2 linked regions of the Rattus norvegicus genome follow. The protein of the gene in region 2 binds, or shares a complex with, the protein of the main gene of each other region. Links are inferred from orthologs where the notes say so. Each region holds a gene or a part of one and is shown on either strand. Other genes may lie near its edges.

Region 1 (4,603 bases), on a different chromosome or scaffold from region 2:
TAGGTTCTGTTCCCTTTCATGTGGTCTCGGCAGGTGGCCCCAGTTAGGATTAAACAGAGCCTTTCTCCCCAGCAAGAGTACTTGTAGTTGCCTCTAGTTCAGTAGGGATAACTGTACATCAATACCCCAATTCCCAGGATAAATTCATTTGGCAATTAAATTAATCATGTGTACATAAACCCTTCCCCTACATGGGCACACACATTGCATTGGCATGAACATACATGTGCCCAACATTCACCTGTATCCATTCATGAACCACCATTCCCTACTCATGCACTTCCCCCACACAATGTAATACTTATCAAAACCGTTGCCCGTATGATTGCCCTTAGGACAATAACAAGTACATACCCTCATCAGATGGGGCTGGTCGTGGAAAGGACAGTTAGTCAAATTTGTCTGGGACTTGGTACATGTAGTTCGGCCCATCTCCACATCCAAATAATAGTTTATTCCAGCCACAAGCTACAGTGAAAAAGAGTAGGATTCAACAGTCCAGTCAAATCATTTACACACAGCTAGCTGCCTTCCATCGCAGACCTGAAGTGTTTACCTAGGACTTATGCCTGGATTCACAAGCAGCCAGAAATCTCACCCACAGAGAATACAAGCCAAATCTTCCAGACACGTGGCCTCAGGCTGTTAGTAATTCTTTTATTTTGAGCAACTCTGACAAGGGTATCACATGTAGTTGAGTAAGAGGAGAAACAGAGCACAAAAGGCAAAAGCTCAGACTGACAAACCTTTCAGAGAGTCAGAAAGGAAAGCATCAGGGGAAAGACAGCCAGGGCGTTCTAGGAGCCTAGGATTGTTCTGAGCATAAGCAAAGGCTTTGGGGGCAGCACGGGATTAACTCAGTCCTGCTGACTGTCATTCCTCAGGCTTAGACACTGCCACTGGAGGAGAGCCAGACCTTCTCCATTTATTGTGCAACCTGGAGAGAACACATTTATTTACCCAAGACTCCCTCCTTCCAGGGACAAGAGGACATGGGATGCTTCACACACAGGGATGTTTCAAGTCAGAGGAAAGACAGCCCTTAAATGTCTTGTCCTTCAGTAAGATTCTCCAGAATTTCCTCAAGCATATCATTCACCTGTAGGTCTTCCACTTGCAATTTAAGAATAGCACTTGTCCCTCTCCCCAGAATGGGGCATGCTAGACCAACTTGTCAGAAATGTAAGGACAGACTGCAGACTGAGGGACCTAGGTGGGAGGTATGGGCAGGGCTCTGTGTATTGCCCTGTGGGACCAGAAACATAGCTCTTGATTTGGGGAATGTCCTGATTTTCCTACCAGTCAAACGAGACCCACAGACCCAATAACCTATAACTCCCTACACTTTGCTCCATCTGTTGCCACAATTAAGAGGTGCACTGGCCATTGAGGTCCAAGGCAGCTGGGAAGTAGATGACTTTTCTGAAGGTTGATCACAGCAGCAGCAGAAATAGAGCAGGATTTAACTTCTTTGTATTTTTAAGGGAAGGTAGAAATGAATTTTATCCACTGGGATACAACCCTTTGTGGTCTAAAATCTGGCCCTCTCTTGGGTCAACTTTGAGACCTATGAGCTCTGGCTGCTAGTTCCTCTGTCAGAGTCTAGATCTAAGGTAGTCTCCTTCTACTCAGTGGGAGGAGGGTGATTTGTGCTTATCTTGGGGGCAATTAGCAAAGCCCCTGAGGCTGCTCCCAAGGACTTTCCAGGGTCACAACTAGCGGGAAGCTAGACAGAACCTCAGAGAAGACTCAAGAGGGGACCTGCTTGGTGACCTGCACCAACATTAGAGTCAAGAGACTCAGTGCCAGTCTACAATCACGTGTCTCTTAAGGATAGGGGCCCCTTCTGAGAAATGTGCCCTGGGAACACTGTGGAGAATCAAAAAGCACAGGTAGAAGCCAATATGGCTGCAGTATCCATCACAGGGTCATTTACCTTTGAGGACCACCCTGTCACAAACCGAGTCATGACTAAAAGGAACCTCAGCAAGTGGCAGAGGACTGATCACCACAGCTGTCTGGACCATTCCACATTGCTAAGAACAGCAAGGCAGCGCAGGCAGTGCTCAGAAAAAACATAACAAAACAAAACAACCAGGCTGCCAGACCGCATAGAAATAGCTCTTGCTAGGAGAGTCCACAATGGTGACCAGCAAACTAAGTGAGGCTTTGAGTTTAGGAACTGAGTATCTGTGGATTCCCAATTTTCCAAATGGAATCTTTGGTATGTAGAGAATGCCCTTGTTTTCGGGAAGTGTTTACTCTGAAAGTATTCACAAGAATGAGTGACTCTAAACACCCACCCAGGTACATATGCTCCTGAGTAGAGCAAAGAGGTGGGAACAAACAGGGCCAAGTATTTACTGGAAGGATGGGACGAAATCTGCCTGTCTGTCAGAAAGTTTCAAGTAGGGCGCTTATTCAATGAGAATTATTTATCCTTCTCCCAGGTCATTAGCAGTTGACATTGACCCCAGGTGGATAATGGTGGCGAACTGAACCCAGGCAGCCTCTGACCTACATCTTTTAGTACCCCGCTCGCTCAGTGGTCTTTTGGAAATAGAGCTAGGAGGACAGGTACCCACACGTTGTGCTCTTCTGGGTTCCAATATAAACAAAAGAGGAATGACCCTGTTAACACATTGAGGAGGGTTGAGAAGAAGGGAAGGACCACGCTCCCAAGAGAAGCAAAGCAGTTGACTAAGTCCCTGCAGTTGCAAACCGCGCCCTAGCCAGGGGAGCCTGGGTGGAAGCGGTTTGGAGACTTCTGGAGAGCAGGGAACAGCGGGGACACGTACCTGCTTACGAGCTCTCACCACCTGTATGGCGCGGCTGTGGTACGCATCGTTGCTGCCCTTGTTGTACTCGCTTACGGCGAAGTCCAACGCTCGCTGCACGCCCTCCTCGCTGGCATCTGCCTCCTGCGGAGCTCCCAACAATCGCGGGGGTGGCCTGGAGGTTCCGGCCCAGGCCACGGCCAGGACGGCCAGCAGTAGCATCAAGGAGCGCAGCGGGCTGGCCATGGTTCCGCAGGACAGAGTCGGTGCAGAGGAGAGGACAGCGCGGCTTTTACCCAATTGTGAGAGATAGAGACCAGCCCTCCTCTCTTGGCTCCTCCTTTTCCGGCGGCCACCCTCCCTTTTCCGTCTGCCCTCTAGCCCTACTCCTGGCCCCGCCTCCTCCTCCGAACTGCCCCGCCCTCTGTCTTCTGTCAGCTTCTAGTCTGCTTTTGCCCAAGTCAGATAGCTCCCATTACCACTCCCTCGCCCATCTCCCGCTGAGCCTCCCCCCTTCCTGGCTTTTCCTTCCTTCTTCACTTTTAGCTTTCTGTTCTTCCCAGTTCCTTTTCTTCAGGCCGTTCTTCCACAGCTTCCCCTTTCACTCTTCAGTTCCCTGTTTCTTGCAGTCTGGTTTCAACAGAGAAGTCATTGCTCTCCGGACCCTAAAATGTCCATGACATCCGAACTCTGTTTCTCCAGAAAGGAAAAGGGCAGCCAGTCTTTGATTTCCCAGATCTTCAGAGTTCAGCTTTGATCACTTGATAGAGAGCAGGATCACTCTGAGCAGGGCTGTTATTTCAGTTTCCTGCAGGCCTGGTCCTAAGATACTTATTAAAGGAAAATGAATTGATCTTGGGGAGCGGGGAGGTGTGTGGCATTCTGTGTAACTACTCCTTATCCTTAAAGAAACCATCCTAGGCTTCTTTCTGAACCAGCCCACCGTAGGCACTGGAGACACCACAGGTGGCCAAGCCCTGAATGGATATTACAATAGGCTGCCCAGTATAATGATGTAAGGCGAACCCATGTGTTTTTTAATGCTTTCTAATAGGTTTAAAACTACAATATGAGGCTGGGTGTGGTGGCTCATGGCTTGAATTCCAGCACTTGGGAGGCAGAAACAGGTAGATCTGTGTTAGTTCAAGCCCGGCTTGGTCTACATCTGGAGTTCCATGCCAGCAAGGGCTACACAGTGAGACCCTGTTCAGGGAAGGGAGGAGGGAAGGGGTGGGTGGTTGGGTGGGAGAACACCCTCATACAAGACGGGGGAGGAGGGATGGTATCGTGGGTTTACGGACAGGAAACCGGGAATGGGGGTCACATTTGAAATGTAAATAAAATCATCCAATAAAATAAAGAAATAAAAAGGCACTTGACACCAAAACAAACAAACAAACAAACAAACAAACCAGTTACACCAAAATCCAAGCATTGAATACTTTAATAAGTTTTATTTAACCTATTGTAGTAGCTATTCCTGGTTGTCAACTTGACTATCCTTGATCCTCTAGGAAAATTTTTGCTTCTTGTCCCCACAACTCTAGGTTCTGCTGGCCTAGAAGTTTTGGTTCTAGAGCGGGGAGTGCTCCTACCAGGAGCCACAACAAACATTCCATTGAACTGGAAGCTCAGACTCCCCCCTGGTCATTTCTTAGCCAACAGGCTAAGAAAGGAATAGCAGTGTTAGGAGGGGTGATAAATCTGGATTACCATGGGGAAATTGGATTGCCTCTCCACAATGGAGGTGAGAAGGATTATTTCTGGAGTGAAGGAGATCCCTTAGGCCATCTCTTGGTACTACCATGTCCTATGATTAAAGTCAA
Region 2 (3,807 bases):
GCAAGCGCTCTACCACTGAGCTAAATCCCCAACCCCTTTTTTTGATTTTTAAAACCACATTTACTAGCTCACATAAATATTTTGAGAACAAATATATCTATCTTCCCTTTCTGATTCCTCAACATAATTTGTCATAGGTTTTAGTAAATAAACTACAATAAATATCTAAGAGAAAAATGAATTTTAAAAACATGAAAAAATGAACAGCCAGATATGACACCAACAGCAATGTTTTTTTAAAGTTGAGCCATTGATTTGCAACTGTTATTAAAATCAACTTTGCTTATAAAAAGCAAGATTTGTAATTCGATCGTGATTTGTTTGGATAACAGCTGAACTTTTACATTAAACATTACAAAGCCTCAACTAAGGGACAAGTAAAACACTCAGACTTGAGCTTGCACTTTCACAAGGGACAATGACGTCATATCAGTTCACATTAGTACCATGGTCCAGAACACTTTCCACTTCACTTCTATTTTGCCACTGCCCAGCGGGGCTCCTAGTGGGAGTTGGCATAGAGTCTGTTCTTGATGAAGACAACACTAGACAGATGCTGCCTGATGTCTGGGTAATGTTGAATGTGGCAAAACCAGCGAGACACATTAAGATATTTCTCCTTTTCTTGAACTCTCATCAACTATAAAGCGGTGGAACCCGTAGTACAGGAGGATGTCCGCCAGGGTAGTGTTATGTCCTGCAAGGTAGATTTTGTCTTCCAGATAGGAGTTGAGATCCTTCAGCAGAGTCTGGTGTCTTCTTTGTGGTGTGTCCATCTACTCGAGTGATCCTGAACTCTAACCACTGCTGAACTAGTGCCTTTTCTTCTGCAGTGCTCCCCAGCAAGTGCTCCCTGTTGGCTTGCTTGACCAGATGGGTTGCAATGGTGCTCAATCTCATTAGACTGGGGCCATTGTTTGACTGTAGGACTGGAACCTGTCATTCGCCCTGAGTGCTGTACTTATTCCCCGGCTTCAGTCCCAGACTCTTCTCTAGAAGCCTCAGCTCCAAGGCGGCCGCCATCTTCTGGCCCAGCTCCTGGGGGGGAGAAATTCTCATTCTTAAGAAGTAGAATCTCAGAAAGAGAAAGGTCTGCAATCCAGGAGAGCAAACGCTAATGGTAGCCGCACTTTCTGAGAGATTGCTGTGCGTAAGTCGCGTCTGCAGTTCTCATGTGAATGGAGTCTCTCGGGGCACACAGGAATCTCATTAACTTTAGTATCACTCACTTTCTTGTTCTTTTGAGGCAAGGTCTCTTGCCCAGGTTGGCCTCCAACTTAGTTTATGACTGAGTTTTTGGTCTCCGTTCTGTTGCCTCCACCACTTAAGTGATGGAGTTACATGTATGTACCACCAAGTCCAACTTACTCTCATTTTAAAGGTGAGGAGACTGAGGCCAAGTCAGGGTTAGAGTTTAGAAGGACTGTCTCCAGAGCTGTACTGTAAAGTCCCCACTATACGTCAGTTAAAGGAGTCAGTGGTCACAATTTTCATCAGCAGGGACAGTAACTGGGCTTTACAACAAAGAGCACTTGTGCCTGACATCATAAAGTGCATGAAGTCTTATCAGGGTAACAGAAAGACACACCCTCTGTGAAGGATGATGACTGACAGTTCCTCTGTATGTTTCTCAGGGCCAGTGTGGTTCCTGTTGGGCTTTCAGCTCTGCGGGTGCCCTGGAGGGCCAACTCAAGAAGAAAACTGGCAAACTCTTAGCTCTGAGTCCCCAGAATCTTGTGGACTGTGTGTCTGAGAACTATGGCTGTGGAGGCGGCTATATGACCACTGCCTTCCAATATGTGCAGCAGAATGGAGGCATTGACTCTGAAGACGCTTACCCGTATGTGGGGCAGGTGAGACCACCGCAGTGTGCAGCCCTATGCTGCGTCTTCCCCTGACATGGTTCTGTTTTCTCTTACTGTATCCTGCCCCCCCTTTTCCTTTTAATTTGAGACAGTATCTTACTATGTATCCCAAGCTAATCAGCTAGGTATCCTAGGCTGCCCCCCTTTTTTGAGAGAAGGTCTCAGGTAGCCCATATTGTCCTTGAACTCACTATGTAGCTGAAAACAACCCTGAATTTATCTTACCTCAACTTCCAAGTGCTGGGGTCACAGGCCTGGGTTCCAGACATGGCTGTCCTGCTTTCTTTCTTTTTTTTTTTTTTCTGTCCTGCTTTCTTTTTTTTTTTTTCTGTCCTGCTTTCTTAATAGAATTATTTGCTGTAGAAAGCCAAAATTCTCATCATCTTGGAAGACTTTGAGCCACCTCTTCAGCCCTGTGATGAAGAATTCCTGGTGATATGAACCTTTGAGAGAGGAGCTGCACGTTTCAGTGGTGAAAATGCAGTGTGAAAGTGTGCACTCAGTCAGTGGTGAGAATGTAGTGTGAAAGTGTGCACTCAGTCAGTGGTGAGAATGCAGTGTGAAAGTGTACACTCAGTGTGTTTTCCTAAAAGGGCAGCTGCTCGCTAATACTTAAGGAGATGTCACACGTACTGCCATACGTACCCAAACTAAGATTTCATAAAGTTTGTTAGTGTGTAACTGTATGAATGGTGTACGTGTGTGTCCAGGTGGGCTGTACCATAGCATGCGTGTGAAGTAGAGAAAACTCTGTGGACTCTCTCCTTTAGGTCCTGAGGACCAAACTCTAGTCATCAGGCTCATTTAGCTAAAGTCTTACCAGCTAAGCCACCTTGCCAGTACCCCCAACAGGATGCCCAGGTCTGCTTATCTGCGCAGCCTTTCTTCCCATGCCCCCGTGTGAGATGGAATCCAGGGGACATTACTTTGCAACATAGTCACCTGGGTGTGGAAGCGTGTGTATCTTTACATTCACTATGTAATGCCAAACTGTTGCCAGAAACTACTCCTGCCTGCCGTCTGTAAGAAATCCCCTGACACACAGTCACATCTTCATCAGTATTTCCCTGGTCATCTGTACTTCTTCTAAACTGATAATGAGGCCCAGTGTGGATGCCGGGAATTCCAGCACATGGGAGGTAGAGGTGGGAGGATTAGGAGTTCACAGTCACCCTAAGCTACCTGGGGAATCTGAATGTAGCCTCTCTGAACAGAGAATGGGATAAAACACCAAAACCCAAAATAGAAAATACAGACCCTCTAAGTAAAGTCTAATCTGCTCCCTGTTGATTTACTGACATTATTAAATATATTTCCCACTCAACAATTTAAGGATAGATTTGAGAAAAGTAATACCAAATTCACTTAACAAATGACAGCTTACGTCTTTTTAGAAGATTTTTTTATGTATATAAGGGTTTTGCCTGGCATGTATATATTATGTGTTTCCCTGGCGCCCCCAGAGGTTAGAAGGACATTCGATCCCCTGGAACTGTTGTCACAGATACCGTGTGGTGCTGGGAACCAAACCTGGGTTCTCAGCAAGAAATGGTACTTGTCAGGGCTGCCCTTCTAGCTCAGCTCACATGATTTATCCAACACTACACTGTTTGCTGAAAAATAGTTTCTATGTCCTGGTATGCGTGTGTGTGTGTGTGTGTGTGTGTGTGTGTGTGTGTGTGTGTGTGTGTGTGCCCATGATATTATTGTCCAGATTGGCCTGGACTCACAGAGATCCAGCTGCTCTCCCTTCTAAGTGGTGGGGTCAAAGTCCGCAACATGCCAGGCCCTGATTTTCTTTTAAGTCCATTCCTTTATTTCATTTGTGCCTTTCTCTCCCCAACCCCCCTTCTCTTTTGAGACCATGCAATGCCAAGGCTTACAGACTGCACTCCTCTTGTATCACGCTGAGATTGCAGCGATGTACCACTCTGTCTGGTTG

What was found.
Region 1: the proteins of Ctsk (region 2) and Cst3 are in contact, whole or in part, in a crystal structure (PDB 8V57), measured with the Mus musculus proteins. The link is inferred for Rattus norvegicus from reciprocal best matches to the Homo sapiens genes CTSK and CST3. Residues at the interface, in NP_031828.2 of Mus musculus: Asn132, Gln133, Gly134, Gln135, Cys136, Gly137, Cys139, Trp140, Glu173, Asn174, Tyr175, Cys177, Gly178, Gly179, Gly180, Tyr181, Met182, Ser248, Ala251, Ser252, Gln257, Phe258, Val274, Asn275, His276, Ala277, Ser297, Trp298, Ser301, Trp302; in NP_034106.2 of Mus musculus: Pro27, Arg28, Met29, Leu30, Gly31, Ala32, Pro33, Gln75, Leu76, Val77, Ala78, Val80, Asn81, Tyr122, Pro125, Trp126, Lys127, Thr133.

The regions. Positions count from the first base shown.
Region 1 is NC_086021.1:156,790,846-156,795,448, forward strand, and holds the start of Cst3 (cystatin-C precursor), read right to left. Parts: upstream 3,093-4,603; 5' UTR 3,024-3,092; coding exon 2,799-3,023; intron 469-2,798; coding exon 355-468; coding exon of another isoform or gene 238-354; exon of another isoform or gene 1-237. UniProt on the Homo sapiens protein: As an inhibitor of cysteine proteinases, this protein is thought to serve an important physiological role as a local regulator of this enzyme activity.
Region 2 is NC_086020.1:185,750,347-185,754,153, forward strand, and holds part of Ctsk (cathepsin K precursor), read left to right. Parts: intron 1-229; exon of another isoform or gene 230-1,587; intron 1,588-1,634; coding exon 1,635-1,853; intron 1,854-3,807. UniProt on the Homo sapiens protein: Thiol protease involved in osteoclastic bone resorption and may participate partially in the disorder of bone remodeling. Displays potent endoprotease activity against fibrinogen at acid pH. May play an important role in extracellular matrix degradation.